Canis lupus familiaris: one gene and its partners. The protein of the gene in region 1 interacts with the protein of each later gene in a pairwise test. Links are inferred from orthologs where the notes say so. Each region holds a gene or a part of one and is shown on either strand. Other genes may lie near its edges.

Region 1 (7,867 bases):
TTGCTCAAGAGGATTTGCAGTTTGTGTAGAATGGTGTTTATAGTAAGCACTATACATGGATTGGGTATTATTGTTACTTTATAATAAAATGTTATTGGGAGCACATCAGGTGGAAGGAACAGAATATTGAGTGACAGTTAAATGCTCTCTGTCACACGGGTTTAATATTGGTTATTCTGGCCACCCAGAAGCACTCTAGAGGAATCTAGATCGGCTGAAAAATAAGTCTCAGTCTTAGGGCTAGCAATACTTTAGCCAAGCAAGCCTTTGCACATCATCTTTCCAGTAGACAAAGGTTGAAGAGGGATAAAAGGCCTAAAATAAACGGTGGTACTTGGGATGCCTGGGTGGCTCAATGGTTGAGCGTCTGCCTTCAGCTCGGGTCGTGATCCCTGGGTCCTGGGATCGAGTCCTGTATCGGGTTCTCCACAGAGAGCCTGCTTTTCCCTCTGCCTATGTCTCTGCCTCTCTCTGTGTGTCTCTCATGAATAAATAAATGAAATCTTAAAAAAAAAAAAAAAAAAGGTCATCACTCTGCCTTCCATGGTGATGTTGTCTTGCTAGGCCTGTCTTCTAACAGCACGCCAGAGGAATGGCTGCAACCTGGAGCCATCACTCTTGAGGACACACCTGTTTTGGACTGAGGATACCTGCCCTTGAAGATGATTCTCTAGAACTTATGCTCCAAACCACGCAGGGTTCTGTATCACGGCTCTCCCTCAGCTATTCAGTTAAATACTAAGTTTCTAGAATCTTTCCCATCAGATAAAAGCTGCCCATACCTGTGGTTTTCTTTTGCTTCTCACAGCTAAAAATGAAGAGGTATAAATTCTAGCTTCAATCTACCAATTAATGAAATTTCATGCAAATCACCTAAAACCTGTCTCTGCCATAGTTTCCTTAAGCATTAATGAATGAATGTAACATAACAACTAATATCCTGCCTATCCCACAGGATGTGGGGCACAGGCAAGGATTCATTTGTTAACAGAGTTCTGTGGGAAAAAAGTTTAGAGGACTATGTCAATTCAGGACATAATTTCTTAATGTTTATCCTGATTTTTTCTGTCCAGAACTCTATAGTTTACAGAGCCCGTGCTTAATCTTATTCAATCCTTATAACCAGCAAACAGTAGGTCCAGAGCTAAAAAGGGATACATCCCCCGAAAACTCACTTCTTTAGGCTCCTACACTAGTGCTCTTTCCATTAACCAACCGCTGCTTCCAGATTCCTGCCACATAGTCTGTCTTGGCCCCAATCTAATATTCTATGTCTTATTTCTAAACCGAGACTTTCAGTTTGCTTAAGTGGCCAGTTGACTGCAGGGAACTCTATCCCACTAAAGCCATCCCCCTTCTCCATAGACTTCAAAGTGGAGTAGAGTGTACAAAGAGGTGCTCAGATGTGCACAAGAAAAATATTTAAGAATGCATGCACAGAAGTATTTAACTAGAGCAAAAATAATTGTTTAAGCTTTACCAATACCCATCTTTAACCTACAGGCCGACCTGGCACTCTCTCTGGGCCAGTGCTTCAGAAATCATCTGTCACGTGCAGTGCAGTGAGTGAGATGTTTCCAGGAACGAGGGGTAATGCCACATACAGTTCAGACATTCATTTTCTTTACAATGTAATGCCAGTCACCAGATAAAAACAAGCCTGTTAATTGCTACAAATTTGACATTTCTTTTATTTTTATTGTTTTGACATTTCTTGGTAAAGAAAGGGAGAATGACCATGAAAATCCTTGTTCTGCAGATTCACTGGTTATCTCCAGGGGGAGGCCCAACAAGAGATATTGAACACAGAGGAGATACACTTTTTACTTTACAACATCCTGTGTTGAGGATTAGCTGGCAAGAGGTTAGTAGCACTGATTTCAAAAACAAACAACAATCCACTTAATCTATTCCTTCAAAGTGAACATGATGGTCTTTTAATGAGTGAGAGTCATGGCTTTTCTAAAGAAAGTCACACATATAGAGAAAATGGTTAGAAAATGTATGACTACCAATGTTCCCAATATCGTGATTTTAAAAATTTATTTCTCAAAAACGATGTGTGTTACCTGGAAAAGCTTTTTATTTTTTTTAATTTTTTGTAAAAGCTTTCTAAAAATATTTTTTTATTAAGTAAACTCTATGCCCAGCGTGGGGCTCTAACTCACAACCCTGAGATCATGAGCTGCATGCTCAGGCAGGTGTCCCTCCCATTAGCTGTAACACTTTTATGTGCACATTTGAAAAACTAAGAAATAGAATTCGAAAAATTTTTAAAGATTTTATTTGTTTATTCATGAGAGACACGGAGGGGAGGGGGGCAGACAGGCACAGGGAGCAGCAGACCCCAGGCAGGGAGCCTGATGTGGGACTTGATACCGGGACCCCAGGATCACGCCCCGGGCCGAAGGCAGGTGCGAAACCGCTGATTCCCTAAAAATCTGTTTTAAATGAAACTTCTTAGAGAGTTTGGTCCCACTTGTTAAAATTATAAAATCCAACACTTTCCTATCATTCAAGGACTAATTGACTTAAAATGTTAATTTACTAGTTGAATTTCAATGAAAACCTTTGCTTTGTGGTGAATGGATGGGAAAATGAATGCCATGATTTAATAAATACAATCAAGGATGCATTTCTTCCATTTTAATCTAGCTCTTTGAAGAGTATCTCTTCTAGTTATGACAGCCAATAAGATTCACTAAGTATGAATTTAAAAATGTACTTCATCGTGGGGCGTCTGGGTGACTCAGTTGGTTGAGCTCCAAACTCGATCTCAGCTCAGGTCTTTTTTTTTTTTTTTTTTTTTTCAGCTCAGGTCTTGATTTCGGATTGGGGGTTCAGGCCCTACACTGGGCTCCATGCTGCAAGTGGACCCTACTTTAAAAAAATGTACTTCATCTTTATTTTGGTCTTTTAATATTCCTACTCTAGGGTATGTTTCATAAGGTATGTAATAAAACACATGCACAAAATTATTTTGAAATATTCCATGTGGGACGCCTGGGTGGCTCAGCGGTTGAGCATCTGCCTTCCGCTCAGGGCGTGATCCTGGAGTCCAAGGATCGAGTCCCACATCGGGCTCCCTGCATGGAGCCTGCTTCTCCCTCTGCCTGTATCTCTGCCTCTCTCTCTCTCTCTCTCTCTCTCTTTGTCTCTCATGAATGAATAAATAAATAAATCTTTAAAAAAATATTCCATGTATTAAGAAAGCACAATCAATGTTTGTTGATCACTGGTTGATCTATCAGCACAGAGGGAGGGTCCACACTTGGGAGAATCATCTCTGCCAGTCATATGGGAACAGAATAAACAATAGGACAATGACAATTTGGACCGTGGTGCTTCAGATGCCAGCGGACCACCTGTCTTTGCAAGTTCTGATCTAGGAGGTGGTGGGGATGGGGAGAAGGTGATGGGTCTTCCTTTTATTTGTCAACTTGTACCTGGTATAATTTAGGGGAATCTCCTGGGTTATTCCAATGGTCAACCAATGCTTATTAGGTTCTTTTTTCCTCTTGCAATTTGCAAACCCGGCCCTGGTAACATATTTGGGGGCACTGAGCTCTCCCCTCGCGGCTCGCGGTCATGTGCGGGTCAGGACAGTGTACTGTACATACACTTCCCCCAGGAACAGTCAAGGTGGTGTGGGAGGGAGAGAGCACAGCAAACACAGCACCGCCTGCAGAGCATTTTACCATCGCCTCTACCTAGGCAAGAAGACAGAGCTCATTCCCCCGTCCTAATAAAAAAGTTTCCTTTTTATCTTGTTTTTAACTACAACGGCAGGGACCTTCTGACTAATGTCATGTTCCTTGGAAAGATTTAGGAACTGTGATTCTATGAGAGGGTTTTATGAAAACAGAATCGGCCTCGAGAGGCTCTTCATTGGGTTGGGAAACGCTCCCGGGCGGGTACCCAGGTGCCCCGCGCAGCGGCGGAGGGTCAGAGCCCGGGGTGTGAGCCCCCCGGGCGGTGCTGTCGGACGTGGGGAGAACACGGGGAGCCGGCCGGTTTCAAGGGCTCCCGGCACCCAGGAAGGAGGCCGCACGGGTTTCTGGAGGAGAAGGTGAGCGCAGGGGTGGGGAGCGAGCGAGCCGCGGGAGAGAGGCGCGCCCGCGGGGAGGGGGCCGGCCGGCGGGCAGGGGGCAGGGACACAGACAAAGGGGGGGCGGCCCCGGGCCGGGGAGGGGGGCGGCGGGGGCGGCGCACGCTGCCGGGGCGAGCCGGGGCCGGGGCCGGGGCCGGGGCCGGGGCCGGGGCGGCCGGCGGGCCGGGCCGGGAAAAGCCGGGGATCCCGCCGCGCCCGGGGCCGGCTAGGCCTCGCGGAGGGAGGCAGGCGCGCTAGGGGCTGGGGGCCGCGGGGGGAGGGCGAGGGGAGGGGAGGGGAGGGGAGGGGAGGGGAGGGGAGGCCCCGGATGGGGGAAGGGCCGGGGGAGGGCCGAGAGGGAGGGGGGAGCGCCCAGGAGGGGGAGGGGAGGGGAGGGGAGGGCCCCAGGAAGGGGGGAGGGTCCGGAGTGGCGCGGGGGAGGGGGAGGGGCGCGGAGGGGAGGGGAGGCGAGGAGGGCCGGCGGGGGGCGGGCCCGGGGGAGAGGCCTGCGGGCCGCGCCGCCGGAGCGGGGCCGGAGGGGGCGGCGCGGGCACGGGCGGCCGGCCGGGCCTGCGCCCCGAGGAGCGGTGCGCCGAGGGGGAAGGGCCCGGAAGGAGCCGCCGAGCCGCCTTCCGCGCGCGCCGGGCCGGAGCCGAGGGCGGCGGGCGAGCGGGCGAGCGGGCGAGCGGGGCGGAGGGGAGCCGGGGCCGGGCCCCGCGCGGGCGGGAAGGCGGGCGGCGCGGGGCAGAGCGGAGCCCGCGGTTGATGGCGGCCGGGGCGCGGGGCACGGGGAGGCCGGGGGCCCGGCGGGCGTGAGGCGGGGGCGTGGGCTCGCCGAGGGCTCCCTCGCGGGCTCCGCGGTGAGCGCTGCGGTGGTGGTTGTCGAGGCCGCAGGCCCGGCCCGGACTTGCAAGGCTGTGGCGGCGCGGCGCGAGCCGGTGCCTCCTCTCGGTTATCCGCCGGCCTCCCTGCCCGCCCCCTCCCCCCCCCGCGCCGGTCCGGAGCGGCCCTCCGCGGCCCTGGCGAGGCGGGCGCCGAGCTGCCCAGCGCGGGGCCGGGGCCCGCCTGCCGGAGCAGCCCCGCGGGCCGGGACCCCGAGCATGGGCTGCGGCGGTGGGCCGCCCTGAAGGCCGCCGGGTGCAGGGCGCGCTCCTCGGTGATTCATGCCTTAGCCCGGAGCGCTAACCTTGAAGAGATTTGCGGTTGGGTTTTTGGTTTCTAAGAAGGTCATAGCTTTTCCTCTTTTTTTTTTTTCTTTCGGTTTTTTTCTCCGACGGGGGAGGGGCCGGGGGCTGAGAAAGGACAGCATGCTCGCTGGCACAAGTAGGATGGAGCCTCGGTTCCCAGGGTCCTGAGAGCCGGCAGGGAGCGTGAGCATCTGGCCCGGAGGTGGGAGGCCCTCCTCCCACGGTTCTTAAACATTGCAGCTCACCCAGCCCGGATCAGGACGTCAGAACTGCAGGATCCTGGCTCTGCTGAGACCCTGAGAAACCATGAGTGTGAGGTTGCCCCAGAGCATAGACAGGTAGGTGTACTCACGACGTGCTTTCTGACACTCTCTTACCCAAAGGCGGGGGGGGGGGGGGGGGGGAGGGAGGGAGGGAGGGAGGGTGCTGCATTTCGGTAAAAGGACGCAGAGGAAGGGTCCGGCTGGGAGCACGGGCCTCCGGGGACTCTCCCGGCATGTGTGTTTACGTTCCCTCCGTGTGTCCATGTCCTGATTCAGTGTTTTTTAAATACCAGCCATCAACAGCAAAGCCAGGAGAGGAGAAAGGGGGGAAGTGCTTCCCTCAGTCTTTGACTTTTGCCCTACTGCAGGCTGAATTTGGGGCCGTGACTTACCAGTGTGTAGGGGGCGGGAGGCACACACGCTTGATCACGTGTGTCCCCAGGGTGGATTGGGACTGGCCTTAGGTGTTGAGCTGCTGGGGGAAGGGGCCTGGCAGGGGTGTGGGCCTCCACCGGCAGCTTTGCTACATGGTGGGGTTTGGTGATAGGGTGGATTCCATTTCTAGAATGAAGAGGATGTTCTTGGCTTGACGGATGGGACAGAAGCACCCTTTGCGCCCATCCAGATCTGGCTTTTTGCCAGTGAGTTATTGATGATGGCCCCCAAATGCGCGGTCGCCTTAGAATTTCTCCCTCTCCGAGCTTAGGGTTTTAACTTGAGACCTGCCAACCGGTGGATGCTCTAAGGTTTAATCTTCCAAGCCATTTTTAATAAGCTTGACTCTGCAAGATGGGCCATCCCTCTGCCTAGAGCCAGAACGGGTTGTGCTGGGCTCTCAGGCCTGATGGGCAGAGGTGCTGGTTCTTGGAGTGTGAGCCCAGGATCCACCCCTCCCCTCCCCCCAGCCTCTGCATCACTGGTACCACCACAGTTTACAACTTTGTGATGCACCTGCCTTCCCACCCCTACTCCAACCCTTTCTCAAGAATCTTGAGAGAGGGTTGTTTGGAGGGTGCTACACACATCCTAACTGGATGGATGGGTGGTTAGAGGACTGAGCAAGCAAATGAAAACCCTGGCTTGGAGACAGTGTTGCTGGAGAGGCAGGGAAGAGCAAGGAGCGGTGGCGTCTCTATGCCAGTTAACCTTTGATTATACATGCTAGTAGTAATTTCTTTCAGGCTATGGAATGTGGCCTAAGTATAATCCCTCCCAAACGCTAATCTCTGTATTGTCTCTGAGTCCCTGTTAGATCAGTTTGGCAGTCTCCCACCGGGGACCTGACTTGGCAGTGGGGAGAAGATAGCCACAAAGGACGTAAAGTGTGTGTCCCTTCCCCTTGTCATTGGTTTCCCTGTAGTTCATGTCTTGTAAAGGGAGGCCCAAGGTGCATCAAGGCAGGGAGGTAACATGGTTACATAGCTACCTTCTCTTTTTGTCACACTGGAATTTGGAAATTCGTGTACCTACCTGCCTTTTGTGAGGTGTGGATGATCAGTGATTTCTCTGAAATCAGGGATGTGAACAGATGAAAACCCAGGTTTGGGGGAGCAAGAAGGAAACCATGAGGGTTCCGGGGCTGATGGGAGATGCTCCTCTGGAGTTTGTATATCCTCCTAGACTGCTCGGGATTTATGGTATGGGGCGTCTCCGCAAGTGCTTTCACAGAACAGGTCTCTTCTGAGCTTCACAGCATTTCTGTGAGGCAGACAAAGTGGAGGTTATTATTCCCGTGGTCCAGAGGGGGTCCTTGAGGCTCAGGGAGGGCACCTAGCTTGCCCAGTGGCATCTGGCTGGACTAGTGGCAGAATCTGAGCCTAGTTATGGGTCTTCTGACCCAGGTTCTTTGCTAACCCCATGCTGGCTAACTGGGTTTGTATATTGGTCCTGTGGAATGTGGTTTTCGTGTCTCCTTTTGACAGTAGGATAAGATGCTCTTCGGTAGTCCCTTTGCACTTGTCTTTTTTTTTTTTTTTAAGGTTTTATTTATTCATGAGAGGCACAGAGAGAGAGGCAGACACACAGGCAGAGGGAGAAGCAGATGTGGGACTCGATCCTCAGATCCTGGGATCATGCCCTGAGCCAAAGGCAGACGCTCAACCGCTGAGCCACCCAGGCGTCCCTGCACTTGTCTTTTTAACAGTCTTGGGGCTAGCACCATAATTCCTATAGTAAAGCACCTGTTTCTCCTGTGGGCTGATGGAGCTTTGCAGATTGAGAGCGTTCCTCACCCCTGCCCCTACCCCAGCTCTCTTCCCCATCAGAGGCTCAGGTCTCTTCCAGATATCTTACCCCTTAGGCTGCAGGCTCATTCTCCTGGACCTTTT
Region 2 (7,654 bases), on another chromosome or scaffold:
AGGGCAGGATCAGCCCCTGGAAGAGGCGGGGGGGTGCCTTCCCGGGGCCCAGAGCTAGTCAGGGCCGCAGGGCAGGGCCGGGAGCCCTGGGGGATCCGGGCCACAGTGGTCGCGCCCCCCCCACCCGTGGCAGGACAAGCCGACGCGTCGGAGGAAGAAACACCAGAAGAAGCTGGCCCAGGGCAGCCGGGAGCCGGCGCCTCCCTGACATCCTCCACCCAGGCGGTCACACGCGGCTGTCACACGACAGCGCCCGGCCACCCGCAGCCCGGGACTACGGCGGCAGCTCCCCGAGACCGTGCGGAGGGATCGGGCGGGAGGGGCACTCACGGCGGGCAGGGCGGCGCAGCGGGAGGTGACTCCGTACTCCACGGTGGCTTCCTCGGCGCCGCCGGGGCTGCGGCCACCCGCCGTGTAGCACAGGCGCCGCGCGTGCTCCATGCTGGCGTCCAGCCGCGCCAGGGGGAAGGCGCACAGGGCGGCGCCCGCCCCGCCGGGGCCCGCGGCGAATGCCCCCAGCAAGGTGCTTGGCGTGACGGCGGCGGCCTGGATGAGGCCCTGGCCCCGGCAGGCGAGGGGCACCTCCACGTACGAGTAAAGGTTGGCATCGCCCAGGCACACGCGGGCCGCGTAGGAGCGGTAGTCGGCCTGCGCCCGCGCCCCGCGGCGGCGGAACACGAAGTAGGCCGAGCGGCCGGCCGCGAAGGCCCCCACGTAGCTGTTGTTGTAGTCCGAGAGGTCGCCCACCACCAGGCGGCCCAGGCCCTCGCTCGAGAAGGGCTGCGGCCCCGCCAGCTGGCGCACGGTCAGGGGCGGCACCCCCGCCGACAGCTTGCCCGCCAGGCCGCGGGCCACCAGCAGCAGGTCCCGGTCCGGCGCCTGCACCACCAGGCCCACCGTGGCCACTCCCGGCGCGTTGGCGGCCACAAACTGCCCGTCGCCGGGGTCCTCGGCCTGGTACAGCACGTGGGCCACGTCGTCCAGGCGCCGCTTGTCGCACACGCCCTGGCGCACCTGCCCGCAGGCCACGAGCTCCCGCGCGCGGCCGCTCACCAGCAGCAGCTGGTTGGCGTTGTCGGTGAGCCGCGCGTGCGGGCAGTCGGCCGGGTCGCGGAAGGGCACGCAGTCGGGGCTGTCGAGGACCGGCCCGGTGACGGCCACCGCCTGGAGCCGCAGCTCGGGGCTGAGCTGGAAGAGGCGGTTCACGGCACCGACGTAGAGCGTGCCCAGGCCCGGCGCCAGTGCCAAGTGGTTGAAGGTGGCGTTGGGGGCCGAGAAGTGACGGGCCCGCGTCGGGGGCGGCGGCAGGCTCAGCAGCAGCGCGAGCAGGAGGTGGGGGCCGAGGGGAGGCCGGGGAGCCATCGCAGGCACCTGGGGGGGCGCGGAGCAAGTGAGGCCTGGCGGGGAGAGCACCCCGGCCTGCGCCACCAGGGCGGCCAGAGGCCCAGAGGAAGGGGGCGGGGAGAGAGCCCCAGAGGGAGGGAAGACCCCGGGAGAGGGACAGCTACAAGGGAGGGAGAGGACAGAGCAGACAGGGGGAGACGCGGAGGAAGGGAGGGCCCGAGAGGCGGAGAGGGTGGGGGGCCCCCCCACGTGTGCCCAAGGAAAGAAATGCTTTCATCTCCTACTTTTTCTGCATCTAGATGGTTGGAGGAGGGGCAGATCCCGGACAGCCGCAGAACACGGACAGAAGGACTCCCGCGGACAGAAGGGCGGTGGGAGAGGCAGGGAAGAAGCCAGAGGTGCTGATGGGGAGAGACCAGGGGAGGCAGGGGGTGGGGCGAAGGGAAGGGGGGGCAAGGACGAGGATGCGGGACCAGGAAGGGTGGCGGAAGGCATGTCACGGGGATCCTGTGCCTGCCACTCAGGCAGGAGGCCACCGTGCTGGGGGGGCATCCGTAGCGCAGGGGACATCAAAGGCGGGGAGAGAAAACTCAGCCTGGGCAGGCAGGGCCAGCTGTAAAGACTGGACCCTTGGCGGTGGGGACAGGCAGTGCGGGGCATGGGAGAGACAGCCAGGGAGAAACTGAGGCAGCCAGAGACTGGCAGGCGGAGACCGCCCGCAGCAGCGGGGGCAGAGCAGGGGCTGGGGTGGGGGGAGATGTGAGAGCCAGACAGAGCGGGGGCTGGGGGAGGTGGGGAGGGGTGCAGGGGGAGGCCTGTGGGCCCCAGCCCCTGGGGGTGTTGACCTGGAGGCATGAGAGAAAAGAGGGGCGAGCCTCGCTGAGGAGGGGGCAACCCCCCCACGACCCATGCGGAGCCCTTCGTTCACACCACAGGGGTATCTCCCGTGGGCCTTGCGGGGGGGGGCGGGGGGTGCAAGCCTCCAGAGAAGGCTCGAGCGGGGCCCCTGCTGTGGACCCACACCCCACCTGCTGGCCGGGGCCGTGGGCAGCCACCCCGCTCAGCCACCTGGGCCCCGGCCGGCTGTCTAGGGGACCAGGCGCCACAGGCACAGAAGGAGAGCCCGTGCCGGCCGGAGCTGCTGGGCACGGACCCACGGAGAAGGGGACAGAAGCCAGGGCCCGCCGTGAGCTAGGGTCCTGCACAGCCGGCCACGTGCGCCTGTGCCAGCGGGGTAGGCCCACTGTCAGTCTGCGCCCTGCAGCCTGGCAGCAGAGACGGAGCCGGGGCCCTGGTGGGTGTGCCAGCTGGGGCAGGGCCCCGAGGGGGGCCCCCAGCCCCTTATCTCCGGGACACAGGCAGGAAGGTCAGGCCTGGCCTGAGGACAGGGACATTTCCTCTAGATCTGGGATACTGGCAGCAGCGTCTGGGGCGTGTGGGTGTGGGGGTGGAGGGACAGCATCTGGGGCCCCACGCCCGGGCCCCCCTGTGCTACGGGGCCGGGCCCGGCCCTGGACCGCCTGGGGACATCCGTGTAGACGGGGGCCCCAGACACTTACCGCCTCGCAGGGGAGCAGCGGAGGGGTCTCCCGGGCAGTGTGGCACCAAGGGAGGCGCATCTCCTCAGTTCAGCTGGCCCAGGGCAGTGGTGACGGGCACGAGACGGCTGTGGGGGGCATTGTCCTGAGCGGGAGGGAGACAGTGGAGGCTTGGCCCTGAGGGAGGAGTGAGGCCAGGGGGGCCAAGGGCCTGGCGGCTGGGCTCCACCACAGCTGGCAGCTTTGTCAATAGGGGCCCTGCCTCCACCCCAACAATGTCCTCTCTGTCCACGGGCCCAGGCCAGGGACTCACTATCTGGTGCTCTTACCCCCCACCCCCGGGGCTGTTCTGGCCAGGGGGCTCCCTGCCACTCCCCACCCCCAGAGAGACACCCCCTGGGACCTGGGGACAAAGGACAGGGTTTCTTCCAGCCAGAAAAATGGGACCCACACAGCCCGCCCCGCCCCACTCCCGCCCCGTGCCAGCCAGCGTGGTCCTCTCTGTGTCCCCCTCCCGGGTCCCCGCCAAGGGCGCAGGGTAGGCCACCGAGCCTCCGCGGGAAGGTCAGGCTGCTGAGCCCCTGCCATGCCAGCCTTAGCCTTGGTAGCCTGGGCGCCTGGTCCAAGTGCCAGTCGTGGCCCTCAATGCCTGCCTTTGTCCGGGCTGGGGGCAGGGAGGTGCTGACGAAGGCAGCACGTCCAGGAGACCTGCTACCCCCCTGCTCCCCCCCCCGCCCCCTCGGCCGGGAATAAGACTGGCCAGAGAGCAAGGGACCTGTCTCCATCCGGCCCCACCCTGGGGGACCCATAAATCGTGCCAGGTACGGCGTGATGGGAGTGGGCAGTGCCAGGGGAGGATGCTGCTGGAGGGGCCGAGGCAAAGGGGGTGCACGGGACGGGTAGGGGCCCGGTCCCCAGGAGCTCAGCACTTGGCTTCAGGCATGGCAATGGTTGCCAGCTGTTCCCTCCCCCCACAGCCCCCAGGGGAGCAGCATCCCAGGATGCTGGGCTCCCCTCTGAGCGCGGGGTGCCAAGGGGGTTGGGGAGGGAGTGGCGACCGGCAGCTGGTCTCCTGCCAGCCGCGCCGGGCACCGTCTGCCCACGAGGCTGGCGGCGCAGGGGCTCCGGCCTGTGGCGCAGGGGCAGGTGCGCTCAGGTTGGGGTCCCCGCTTTCTCCGTGGCGCGGCGGCGGCCACGGCAGGCTCCAGCAGCTCGCTCCGGGACGAGGTGGCAGCAGTGGGGCTCGCTGCCACCTGGCTGGGCCGGTTGGGTGGCTGTGGGGGTGGGGAGCCAGGCGGGCCTCCTCCCTACCCTATGCCTTGCCCCCCGCCCCGAGAGCTTTCCCATGGGGGTTAGAAGCCAGGGGTCCTCCCCCAGCTCCAGGGCCACCGCCTGGAGGGGTACCGGGCCCCTGAGGCATCGGGGGCTGTCGTCCCGGGGCTCTGGCTGGTGCCCGAGGGCCTTTGCCCTGTCGGGCGAGGCGGCTCTGCAGACCCCTGGCTTCTCCCAGGTCCCAGCACGGCCCGTGGCGGTGCCCCGCGACGCGGCGGCCCCGGCCCCCCGCGCCCCCGCCAGCCCAGCCCCTGCCTACCTGGGTGGGCCGCTGGCAGGGGTGAGGAGCAGCTGGCAGTGCCAGAAGTGCGGCCCGGCGCAGCCCCGGCCTCCCTCCCCACAATGCAATCGCGCCCAACCCGACTTATCCTGGCGGGGCCTGCCGGGCTGCCCAGCCCCTCCCCGCCCGCCCAGTTGCCTGCTGGGGCAGGGCGGGGCGCTGCTGCCCCCTGCCGGCCCTGGTGGGCACCTGGCCGAGCAGGTGAGGGCGGGCGGGCCCTGGGGCTGGGGCCGGCGCCTTCCCGCTCCCAGGGTCTCGGGCCTCGGGACGGAGCCACCTGCCGCGGCCCCACTGCCGGAGGAGCCCATCTCTGGGGGACACCCCCCACCTCTGGAGGGCGCCAAGGCGGGGAGCCTAGTCTCCGGGACAGTGAAGCTGACCTTGAACCACACACTTCTGCTCCTGCTGATGCCTTCCTGACAAGCAGGGCGCTCTCCGTGTGCGTTAACCCCTTCGCTCCCTCTGATGAGCCCGGAGGGGGTACAGTTATTTCCTCCAGTTCACAAGCGGGGAAACGGAGGCACGGGAGGTTAGGAAGCTGCATGGCCAGTTGGTGGCCAGGCCGAGAGTCCACCGCAGGGCCCCTGTACTTCACCATCGGGCCACGTGGTCCCGAGCTCTGAACCAAGTGGAGAGGGCCTGCGGGTGACACGCGCACGGGGGTTTCCCCCTGCCCGGAGCACAGGCGTGCTCGAGGTGGGTGCAGAGGTGAGCAAATGAGGGAGGACCTGGACTTACGTACGTCACCACGACCTTGTAAATAGCTGTGAATTTGGACAAGTGTAAGCCGGTGGCCCTGGGTGGAGAACGTGGGGGAGTGTGGAGCAGTGGTGGCTGTGGGCATGGAGAGAGGGGGGCGCGTGGCAGATACACTGGAGGGGACGGAATCCTAGAGGCCTGGTGTTGGATGGGTGGGGGCAGTGGATGGAGGAGAATCCAGGGGACCCCGGGCCCTTTCTGCTGGAGCGTTGCTCCCTTCAGGGCAGGGGTGCCAGCGGAGAGGGGTGGGCAGTGTGGGGAGGGACGGGCGGACTGAGGGCTCCGTGAGCAAGAGGAGCCGGCCAGGGGAGTCGTTGGGGTCTGAGTGTGAGAAGCTCAGCACGAGGTGACTGGAGCACTGGGATGGGGTGGGAACTCGGAGGGGAGATCGGGGTGCCCCGGGAAGCGGGCGACCCAGAGCCCAAAGGCCCGGCAGATGTGGATGTGACTGCCTCCAGCCATGCACCCTCCAAGGGGGAAGACCAGGTGGCCGAGAGGGGGCCAAGGGAAGGATCTAGAAGCTCCAGGCGGGGCAGGCTGTTGGGGAGGGCCGAGGAGGGGCTGGCTCTGACCCATAGGATGGGAAGGACTGCCCTCAGCAACCCCGTAGACAGCTGGCCCTCTCTCCCCAAACCTTTCTCCGTCCACACCTAACACCCACGTGTGTCCTCGGTGACGTCAGGAAAGACAGCTTCTGGCTCAGCGGTGGGAACAGCTTTCCTACCTCTCCACGGAAGAAAAGAAACCTGCCCTCACTCCACCCGGTTTTTAACAGGTGTGTGTGCGTGTGGCCTGCAAGGGCCCCTCGTCCCAAGGCGGTGGCGCCCGTGGACGCCGCCCGCTGGCTTTGTGGGCTTTCCTCCTACAGAAAGGGAGTCGAGCTGGAGGATTCGGGCGGTGACCCCGGCCCCTTGCCACTGCCTTGCCCGCGTCCCCGGAAGGGCTGGGGGGCGGCCTCCGCCATCCGTCGGGGCGCCCCGTGCTGCCGCGCCCAGCGTCTGGGTGAGCACCGGGGTCCGGGGCGCCGCGAGGAGCTCCCTGGGTCCCCTGGCCGCGGGCACTTGGGGTTTCCAGGCTGGGGCATCGTCCCAGCTGCTGTCCCACGTCCGCCGCCGCCACCGCGTACGCGTTTCTGTGGGCCGCATGGTCACCGACACTTGCTACGAGGGCTTTTCCTTAGTCCTTCCTGTCCGTGCTGTGGGTCCAGGTGGTGACACCTCGTGGCGCTCTGACTTGTCATCCGCTGCCTACCAGTCCCGTTGAGCTTTTCCATGCTTCCTTTGCTGCAAAATGCCCGAGCGTGGCTTTGCCAGGGTTTGTTTTTTTGTTTTTTGTTTTTGCCAAGGTTTTGATGTGGGTTGTCTTTCCCCACCAGCTGACGGGTTCTGTGTACAGTGTGGGCACCAGTGTCCGATCTGTTGCGTCTTCTCCGGGCCTGTGACTTGTCTTCTCAGATTGCCAGTGGCATCGTTGGGTAAGCAAGTCTTAATGTAGATTTAATTGCCCCTATCATTCTTCTCTTTTATGCTTTGTGCTTTTAGTCTTGCTTGAGAAATCTTCCCCTACCCGAGGTCAGAGAAGTTGTCTCCTGGGTCTCTTTTCTCAATTTTCTTTAAAGATTTTATTTATTTATTCGAGACAGAGAGAGTGAGCACACAGGCAGGGGGAGTGGGAGGCCGAGAGCAGGGAGCCCGATGGGGGGCTCCATCCCAGGATCATGACCCTAGCTGAAAGCAGATACTGAACCCACTGAGCCACCCAGGTGCCCCGTTTCTAAATATTATAAAATTGGTTTTCATATTCAGGTGCTCTTTAATGCCTCTGGAGTGGGTTTGTTTGCAGCTGGTGTGAGGTAGGGGTCACGTTTTTCTCCTTTTCCATGTGGAGGGCTGTCCACTGATGTGCACTGAGCCCTTGGTCACATGCCCTGTCCCAGGTCTGGGAGGCTGGCAGCTCTGTCCTCTGTCCCTTTGGTGTCTTTGTCTGCCTCTACTACACTTACGAAAGCTTGAAGGCTTCCTTTTCCTTCTCCTTGCTTTCCCCGTCAGATTGTTGCTCCCCCTCCTCATCTTCCAAAATTATCTTGCCAGGGCACCCAGGTGGCTCAGCAGTTGAGCGTCTGCCTTTGGCTCAGGTCGTGATCCCGGGGTCCTGGGATGGAGTCCCACATCTGGCTCCCTGCGAGGAGCCTGTTTCTCCCTCTGCCTCTGCCTCTCCCCTGGCTTGTGCGTGCACCCTCTCTCTCCTGCCCACTCTCTCAAATAAATAAATAAAATCTTTTAAAAAAATTATCTTGCCTATTCTAGGGCCTTTAGTTTTCCTTAAAACTTAAAAAAAAAAAAAAAACCCAGCTTGTCAAGGTTTAGGAAAAAGTCTGTTGGGATTTCTTTGAAGGGGTAAA
Region 3 (7,073 bases), on another chromosome or scaffold:
CTCACCATGCAGCCCATCAGCACTGTCCACACGCAGACGGCCAGCCCGACGCAGAAACAGCCCCACACGGAGCTCTGGCTGCAGAGCCTCATAGCTGAGCTGGAGAAATGGGAATGAGGTCAGAGCCTGGGGCTGGGGGAGGCATCAGGCCTGGGGAGGGGGTGGTCAGAAAAAGGGACCAAAATGACTAGTTGCGGGAACACAAGGTCAAAGTTGAGGTGCAGGGACCTCAGGCACATAGGGTCAAAGGTCAGAGCCGGTTACCCAGACTCCCTCAAGGTCACAGGGTTACAGCTGGGCTAGGATGAGTGTGGTGAGCCAGCTGAGGTTGGGAGCCAGCCTGTGGCCAGCACATGTTGCCCACCCAGGTATTCATAATCCATACCTGGTTCTGCTGGCATGTAACATGGCACTGGGTATCAGGAGGTGGCTCACACTCGACCCGGGCCTCAACCACCACTTCGCGGCCCTCCAGCTCCATCACACACTCATTGTCTCCTGGGCTGTCCTGGGGGCAGAGAACACAGCTGGTAGGGCAGGCAGTAGTAGGAGCTGAGCCCAGTGAGCCCCGTAGGGCCCCTAGTAGAGCCCCTGGGTTGGGATTGAGACTTGGGGCCAAGCTCTCTTCCTGCTCTCCAGGGCTTGTGTGTGGCTGGTCAACAGCCAAGGAGGCTGCAAGTACACTAGCAACCCAATGCACCCACCTGGAAGAGGCGCAGGTTTCTGCCCAGCAGCCGGACTTCTCGTTCCACATGGACGGGTATCAACGTGGAGCCCTGAACACTATCTACACAAGGGCAGGAGCTGGCCCCCTGGTTCACCTCCTCCTGCAGACACCAAGAGCAAGGCAGTCTATGGAGCCCACCCTGTCAACTCACCCATTCCCCATGCAGAACCTGGGGCCCAGGCCAGCATGGAGCTGCAGAACCCACCCTGCCCCTTGAACCCTCCAGATGCAGAATTGCAGGTAAAGGGCCGAGTCTGCCCTGCGTCCCCTCCCGAGGCCTCCTTCCTGGGCTGGGCCTCACCAGCTCCCAGAGCCCGGGGGTGTCGTATTGGTAGTCGAGGCTGGACAGGAGGATGAGGGGGGCAGGAGGGCCCTCGTGCTCAGCCGAGTCTCCATCACCTGAGAGGAGGGTGGAAGTGGAGAAGGCGGGTGTGTCACCCCCTGTCCACTCGTCCGCCTCAGGCAGCTCGCCGCCTTCTCTCATGAGCCAGTCCAGAGCAGGCTTCACGGAGCCAGCGGCCCCTGGGAAAGTAGTGGCGGGAGCAGTGCCGGGGGGCTGGTCCAGGAGTGCCGCAGAGGGGTCGGCCTCGGGGCCGGGGTCTGCAGGGGCAGGGGGCAGTGCTGCTGCATCTGAGGGCGATGGGTGGGAGGCTGAGAGGTCTTCGGGTGTGGCCATGGGTCCGGAGTCAGTGGGGGCAGGGACAGCGGTTCCAGGTCTGTTGGGGGGGTCGGGAGGGGGAGGTTCCTCATGGAGAGGTGACTCTGTGGAGGCTGAGGCAGGTACGGGACCAGGACCTGTCCCTGGCCCCCAGGGGCTGAGCAGGGAAGGCCCGTCCCCAGGTGGGACATCCGAGGCTGTGGCTGTGGAAGGGGCCCCAGGTTCCATGGGAAGGGGGTCAGGAGCAGGGGTGACAGGGGCCTGGGGGTTTTGGGATGGGAAGGGGGTGGGTACATCTCTTGCTGGAGGGGCTGGGGAGAGAAGCAGGCTCTGAAGGGGGAGGCAGAGAAAGACAGGAGGGGCCACTCAGCAGGCAGGCGTGGGAGCAGGTGGCAGGCAGGCAAAGGGTGTGTTAAGAGGAAAGGAGACCAAGGGAAAGAGAAACAAAAACAGCCCGTTAATTCTCCAAAGGAGAGAGGGGAGGGCAGGCTCCAGGGGCATCTGTGCTGAGGTGGGGCATGAGGCCCAGACCTCCCCTGCCGCTCAGCCACAAACGTCTCTCCTCAAACTCCAGTGAGTCCGCCACACACAGCAGCCCGCGGGTGGGTAGGTGCACAGACCCTGGGCCATCAGAGAAACCCACACAACCCTGTGGGGCCCGGCTAGAGGTCCTGCTCACCTGCTGGCTAACAATCATGGGTCCGACGTCACATGAGGCCTTGTGCGTGCACAGCTGCTGCCAGACACACCAGTTACACCCCCAGAGGCTGCTCACACAGGCCTGGCACCTGCACAGAGCACAGCCATGGGGCAGCGGTCACCACAGGGGAGCCCAGGTGCTGGGGGTTGGGGAGGAACTCACTGTGCAGACGGGTGGAGCTCAGTGACTGCTCCACAGTCGTAGACAGAGAGCGAAGCTTTGGCAATCACCACAGCACCGAACTTAAGCTCCACGCTCACGGACACGTGGTCTGCAAAGCGGGAGAGAGGGGCCCCGGAGTGGGGTTAGCACCATCAGCAGGGAGGAGAGCCCAGGGTCTGGGGAAGTCCACAGGGCACAAAATGGATACTTTAGGGACTTGGGGACTAGCCAGGGGACTCAGAGAAAGGTGCTACTTTAGGGCTCCCAGCCCAGATTCACACCTCACCCCAAATGCACCCCTTGGGGCAAGATGAGAGGGTGGGGCTCCCAGGCCCCGGAGGCTGGCCCCTTCTCTCACCCACCGGCTCCTCTTGGCAGTGCTGGGGCCTCACTGGGGTCTGGGGAAGGACACATCACACCAGAACTGGTCAGCAGGGCAGAACTCTGGTGATCCCCAAACTGGCAGGAATAGGACTCCCCTGGCCACAGGGGTGGCAGGTCAGGCACTGACAGGAAAACCTGCCAAGAAAGGCCACAACAGGCTTTTGGAGCAGACCAGGGCTTGTTTCTGGGGTGTCCAATGTAAGCAGGCTCAAGGGCAGGCAGCCCCCAAGGGCTGGGGGTCCTGAGCCTTCACAATTGCCTTTTAGCCTGGGTTAGAAACAGAAAGCAAGGTCCAACGGGAAGTGACTCATATAAGGCCATGTGGTATTTGGAGCCACTGACACTAAAATTCAAAGTCTTGACCCATCACCAGAGCCCTCCCTATGAGGAATGCGCCTGCTCTGTTCATTCACCTCCTTCCGCTCCTCTCGGCTGATGTTGGCAGGACTTATAACTGCCACTCGCAGACAACGCAGCTCAGACTGGAAACTCCACAGCCACCGCTCTGGGCCCTGTCCTCGTGAGCACTCGGAACGGCGACTACACCTGCATGAGAATGATGGGGATCCACCTTCATGGGGGAGGGCACCTCCAATACTGGGGACCTCAGCAGGATCCTCAGACAGGCCGTGACACTAGGCTACATCTGCCCTGGCAGGCCTCTGATGTCCAGGATGGAGGATGCAGGAAGGAGAGTAGGGCATCCAAGGCTCAAGGGTTGTAAGTCAAGGGTCAAGGACCAGGAATACTGGACAGGGCAGTTATGCAGGTGCAGTGCTAGGGCAGGAGGCTGGGGTTGGGGGATAGATCGGGGTCAGGAGTCAGTAGAGCACTGACCTGCCAAGAAGCACACACCACCCACAGTATGGGTCCTTGTGAGCAAGACAAGATGCACAGTCCAGGAGCTGAGCACAGGAGGCCACAGGAACCTTGAGAAGCTATGACAGCAATCCAAACACCAGTGACTCATGGGTCCCTGGCCCAGCCCAAGGCCCTTCCCAGCAGCCAGGTCCCAGCTCTCGCCTGGTACTCACTGTGCTCTGAGTCATGACATACAGGTGCTCAAAGGACCCATCAAAGGTAAGGTCTCTGCTCACAGCAGACCCCTGCTGGATGTTCTGTGTGGAGTATGGGTGGCCATCACTTCCCGGGCCCAAGTAGACCTGAAATCAGAGACCACAAGTTCTGGTACCCAAGTCCATGGCCACAGACCCAAGACCCTCTCCTCTCCCCATGACTGAAGCAATTTACAAGCAGAACTTTCTCCTAGGCAGTACAGGTCACGCCACCCAACCCATGGGGAGGGGATGGGGAAGTCATAGATAAAAACCACCCAGCCCTGGAAAGAGAAGCATAAGTCATCTCTCCTAGTCTTGGGGCCAGGGGTGTGTCACAGATCCTTCATCCCAGCCTTAGGGGTCAGAGGCATAGTTCAGCCCAGGCTGGTCACCAGCAATTTATCGTGGGACAGAGCCCAGTACTTCCTGTGGACTCACCCTGTGCAGTTGCCCTTGACTGTCACCCAGGAAAGCAATGGTGTGTCCATCCTCCACAGTGACTGCCACAGCTGTTAGCTGGACCCTTGGCCACTCCAGAATGGGTGTGGCTTCTAGGGGGACACGGCTGGCCATGGGGCTGGGCGTGTGATCTGAGCCACAGGGATAAGCATCCAGGGTATCCTACAGGCAGCAAGACTAATAAGGCCCTCCCTGGATATCACAATCCCCTGGCCCAGCCAGCTTTCCCTAAATGATTCTATTTCCTCTGCTGGGCCTCCAGGACAGCCTTATCCCCTCACCCTTCTCTTCGGGAGACCATAGACTGCCCCATCCCCACCCAGTCTCTTTGCCAGCCCTCCCTGACATTGCCCACAGCTGCATCCTTAGCGTGGCCTCAGCTGCCTTGGACAGGCTCCAGCAGCTCCTTACCCTGCCCCTGATCCCCACCCATCTGGAGTTCCACCTTCTCCCAACCCCAGCTTATGCACTCAGTCTTCCCCTTGTCCACCAGCTTGTGTCTTCATGTCCAGGTCTGCTCCCCTAGGCCCCTACTACCTTTCCCTCACTCAGTCCCCCTGGGTGGGGCTTCTTCCCTGTGTTATCCATCCAGAAGCTAGAGCCAAACAAGTCTCAACCTCACCAGGCTCTTGCTCAAAAACCTGAAACAGGGCCTAACTCCCTACATTCTAGGTCCCTGCCCCATACCCTAGGACCCCAAACACCCTCAGTCTACCCACACAAACACCACCTCTACAGAGCCCAGTCCAAGCCCAGCTATGAATGGCTCTCCAAAACCTGAGCGCCACAATTTCAGTAAGGTATCTCTCCACCACCCAGGCACAATGGAAGTACATTCCCTCCGTTGACCTGATCAGCCCCCACACCACCACTAGTTTCCCTTCAGAGTCCTCGGGCAGCTGCTTGGCTGTGAATGCCAGACAGGAATCAGCTGGGACTCACCACCGGCAGCTGTGCACAGTCAGAGTTGACATCATACTCAATATAGGCCACCTCGATGCCATCCTCGGCACGGCCCTCCCTAGTGTAGCAGGCATCTCGTGTGCGGTTAGCAAGGCGATCCACCTCGTCCAGAGGGAAGGCACAGAGGGCAGAGGCTCCAGATGCTCCGGCAGCTGCCAACGGAGGCCGGCCCACAGTGGGGGGAGCGGCTGAGGAGAAGGCTGCAAAGAGCACCTCGCCCTGGGCCACCTCCCGGGATGTGGCCACAGCCGCAGCCTGAAGCAGCCCATAGCGGCCACCCTGGCAGGCCAGAGGCAACTCCACATAGGAGTAGTAGTGCTGGTCCTGGAGGCACACTCGGGACACGTAGGCACGAAATGCTCTAGACTGAGCCTGCAGGTCTCGCCTCAGGAACAGGAAGTAGGCACTGGCCCCACGTGCAAAGGCGCTCACGAAGTGGTGGCTATACTCAGAGAGGCGGCCCACAGCCAACTTGGCCGTCTCCTCATAGGAGAAGGCAATTTGGGGGTCCAGCGGCCACAAGGTCCGGGTTGTGATGGGAGGGATGCCACCCCCCACACCCCTGCTGGTATAGCCTCGCCCCACGAAGAGGAGGGGCTCCCCAGCCAAGCCCTGGGCCACCAGTCCCACTGTGCTGACCGCAGGATCATTGGCGGCCACATATTGGGTGTCCCCAGGGCGCTCGGGCCGCAGCAATAGCTGTTCAAGCTGCCCCAGGCGCCGCAGCTCGCAGACCCCCTGGTGCACACTCCCGCACACCACCAGGGCCCCTGGGCTCACCAGGAGCAGCTGGTTTAGGTTGTTGGTAGCCTGGGCCTGGGGGCACTCATCTGGCATCACAGGTGGCAGGCAGTCCCTGCTATCTAGCACAGGGCCCGTGGACACGGTAGCCTCCAGCTGCAGCCCAGGGCTCAGCTGGAACAGGAAGTTGGTGGCTCCTAGGTAGAGAGTGCCTGAGGTGGGATCCCGTGTCAAATGCTGCAGATGCGTGCCATTGGGAGTAAAAACAGCCAGTGGAGGGGGCTGGAGGGTGAGAACCCACCCAGCCCAGAACACCTGGAGAAGAGCTGGGCCGAGGGCAGGCATGGTCACCTGGCAAGGAGAGAGATGGAGTGCTGAAGGGCCACTGTTGGGATCACATCACCAAGATGATTCTCCTAACCCCAGGGAGTGAGCAGAGGAGGCCCAGGCTTAGATGGCACTGTGGTCCAGGATGACCCCAGGACCACATACTAGCAAGGGGTCAGATCTTTTCCTGGTAACTTCAACACTGTTCGTTTTCTGCAAGCACTATGGTCTCAGGAGACCTCCATCCCATCCCACCACCCCTTTGCCCTGCCCTGGCCTGTGTCACCACAGGGTCCGAGGGTAAGCGGCCAGTGGGGCAGAGATGTGGGAAACAACCCAACCCCAGGGGACTGGGGCCTGGAATAGGCAAGAGAGCAAGTGAGGGGAAGGAGAGGCCCAGAGCCCTGAGAGGCTCAGAGCACTGAGAGGACCCCTCTGAAAAGGCCAGGAATCCAGAAGGAAACCACAGAACCAATGACAAGATGAGGGAGGTTGAGGCTGCCAGGGCTGGGGTCTGAGAAACTAGACCCCACCTTGGAGAGCCATAAGAAGGAGTCACACTTCTCCCAAGTGCCTAGGTGTGAGGTCAGGCTCACCTGGCAGGGCTGACTGGATCAGGAGATAACAGCATGACCTGTGTGGGAGTCACCTAGCCAGGGAGATAGCAGAACATGAAGCTGGGGGCTGGGCTGCAGGCATGTGGGAGCCCAGGCTCCCCTTCCCGCTGCCCAGCCTGCCAGTGGAACTGGGCCCAGCCTGGCCCTCAGCCACCAAACACATTCCACAGGGGACGCCTCCTCAGAGCCCACACAGGGAGGAGGAGGGCAGTGGAACCAGGCACCCTCAGGGCCTGGGAAAGGGCAGCTAGGAAGGAGCCCCATAGCTGGCAGAGCC

What was found.
Region 2: the proteins of ARHGEF11 (region 1) and PLXNB3 interact in a two-hybrid assay, tested with the Homo sapiens proteins (2 studies listed by BioGRID and IntAct). The link is inferred for Canis lupus familiaris from reciprocal best matches to the Homo sapiens genes ARHGEF11 and PLXNB3.
Region 3: the proteins of ARHGEF11 (region 1) and PLXNB1 interact in a two-hybrid assay, tested with the Homo sapiens proteins (2 studies listed by BioGRID). The link is inferred for Canis lupus familiaris from reciprocal best matches to the Homo sapiens genes ARHGEF11 and PLXNB1.

Annotation. Positions count from the first base shown.
Region 1 is NC_049228.1:40,989,197-40,997,063, forward strand, and holds the start of ARHGEF11 (rho guanine nucleotide exchange factor 11), read left to right. Parts: upstream 1-3,705; 5' UTR 3,706-4,069; intron 4,070-5,322; exon of another isoform or gene 5,323-5,517; 5' UTR 5,518-5,583; coding exon 5,584-5,615; intron 5,616-7,867. UniProt on the Homo sapiens protein: May play a role in the regulation of RhoA GTPase by guanine nucleotide-binding alpha-12 (GNA12) and alpha-13 (GNA13). Acts as guanine nucleotide exchange factor (GEF) for RhoA GTPase and may act as GTPase-activating protein (GAP) for GNA12 and GNA13.
Region 2 is NC_049260.1:122,762,678-122,770,331, reverse strand, and holds the start of PLXNB3 (plexin-B3), read right to left. Parts: upstream 4,628-7,654; 5' UTR 4,474-4,627; intron 3,147-4,473; exon of another isoform or gene 3,028-3,146; 5' UTR 2,964-3,027; coding exon 2,904-2,963; intron 1,746-2,903; coding exon 1,629-1,745; intron 1,372-1,628; coding exon 331-1,371; intron 269-330; exon of another isoform or gene 134-268; intron 1-133. UniProt on the Homo sapiens protein: Receptor for SEMA5A that plays a role in axon guidance, invasive growth and cell migration. Stimulates neurite outgrowth and mediates Ca(2+)/Mg(2+)-dependent cell aggregation.
Region 3 is NC_049241.1:41,071,263-41,078,335, reverse strand, and holds part of PLXNB1 (plexin-B1), read right to left. Parts: exon of another isoform or gene 6,829-7,073; 5' UTR 6,776-6,828; intron 6,204-6,775; 5' UTR 6,198-6,203; coding exon 5,091-6,197; intron 4,311-5,090; coding exon 4,128-4,310; intron 3,795-4,127; coding exon 3,666-3,794; intron 3,570-3,665; coding exon 3,469-3,569; intron 3,178-3,468; coding exon 3,045-3,177; intron 2,767-3,044; coding exon 2,610-2,766; intron 2,357-2,609; coding exon 2,248-2,356; intron 2,174-2,247; coding exon 2,065-2,173; intron 1,716-2,064; coding exon 1,029-1,715; intron 828-1,028; coding exon 705-827; intron 509-704; coding exon 386-508; intron 100-385; coding exon 6-99; intron 1-5. UniProt on the Homo sapiens protein: Receptor for SEMA4D. Plays a role in GABAergic synapse development. Mediates SEMA4A- and SEMA4D-dependent inhibitory synapse development. Plays a role in RHOA activation and subsequent changes of the actin cytoskeleton.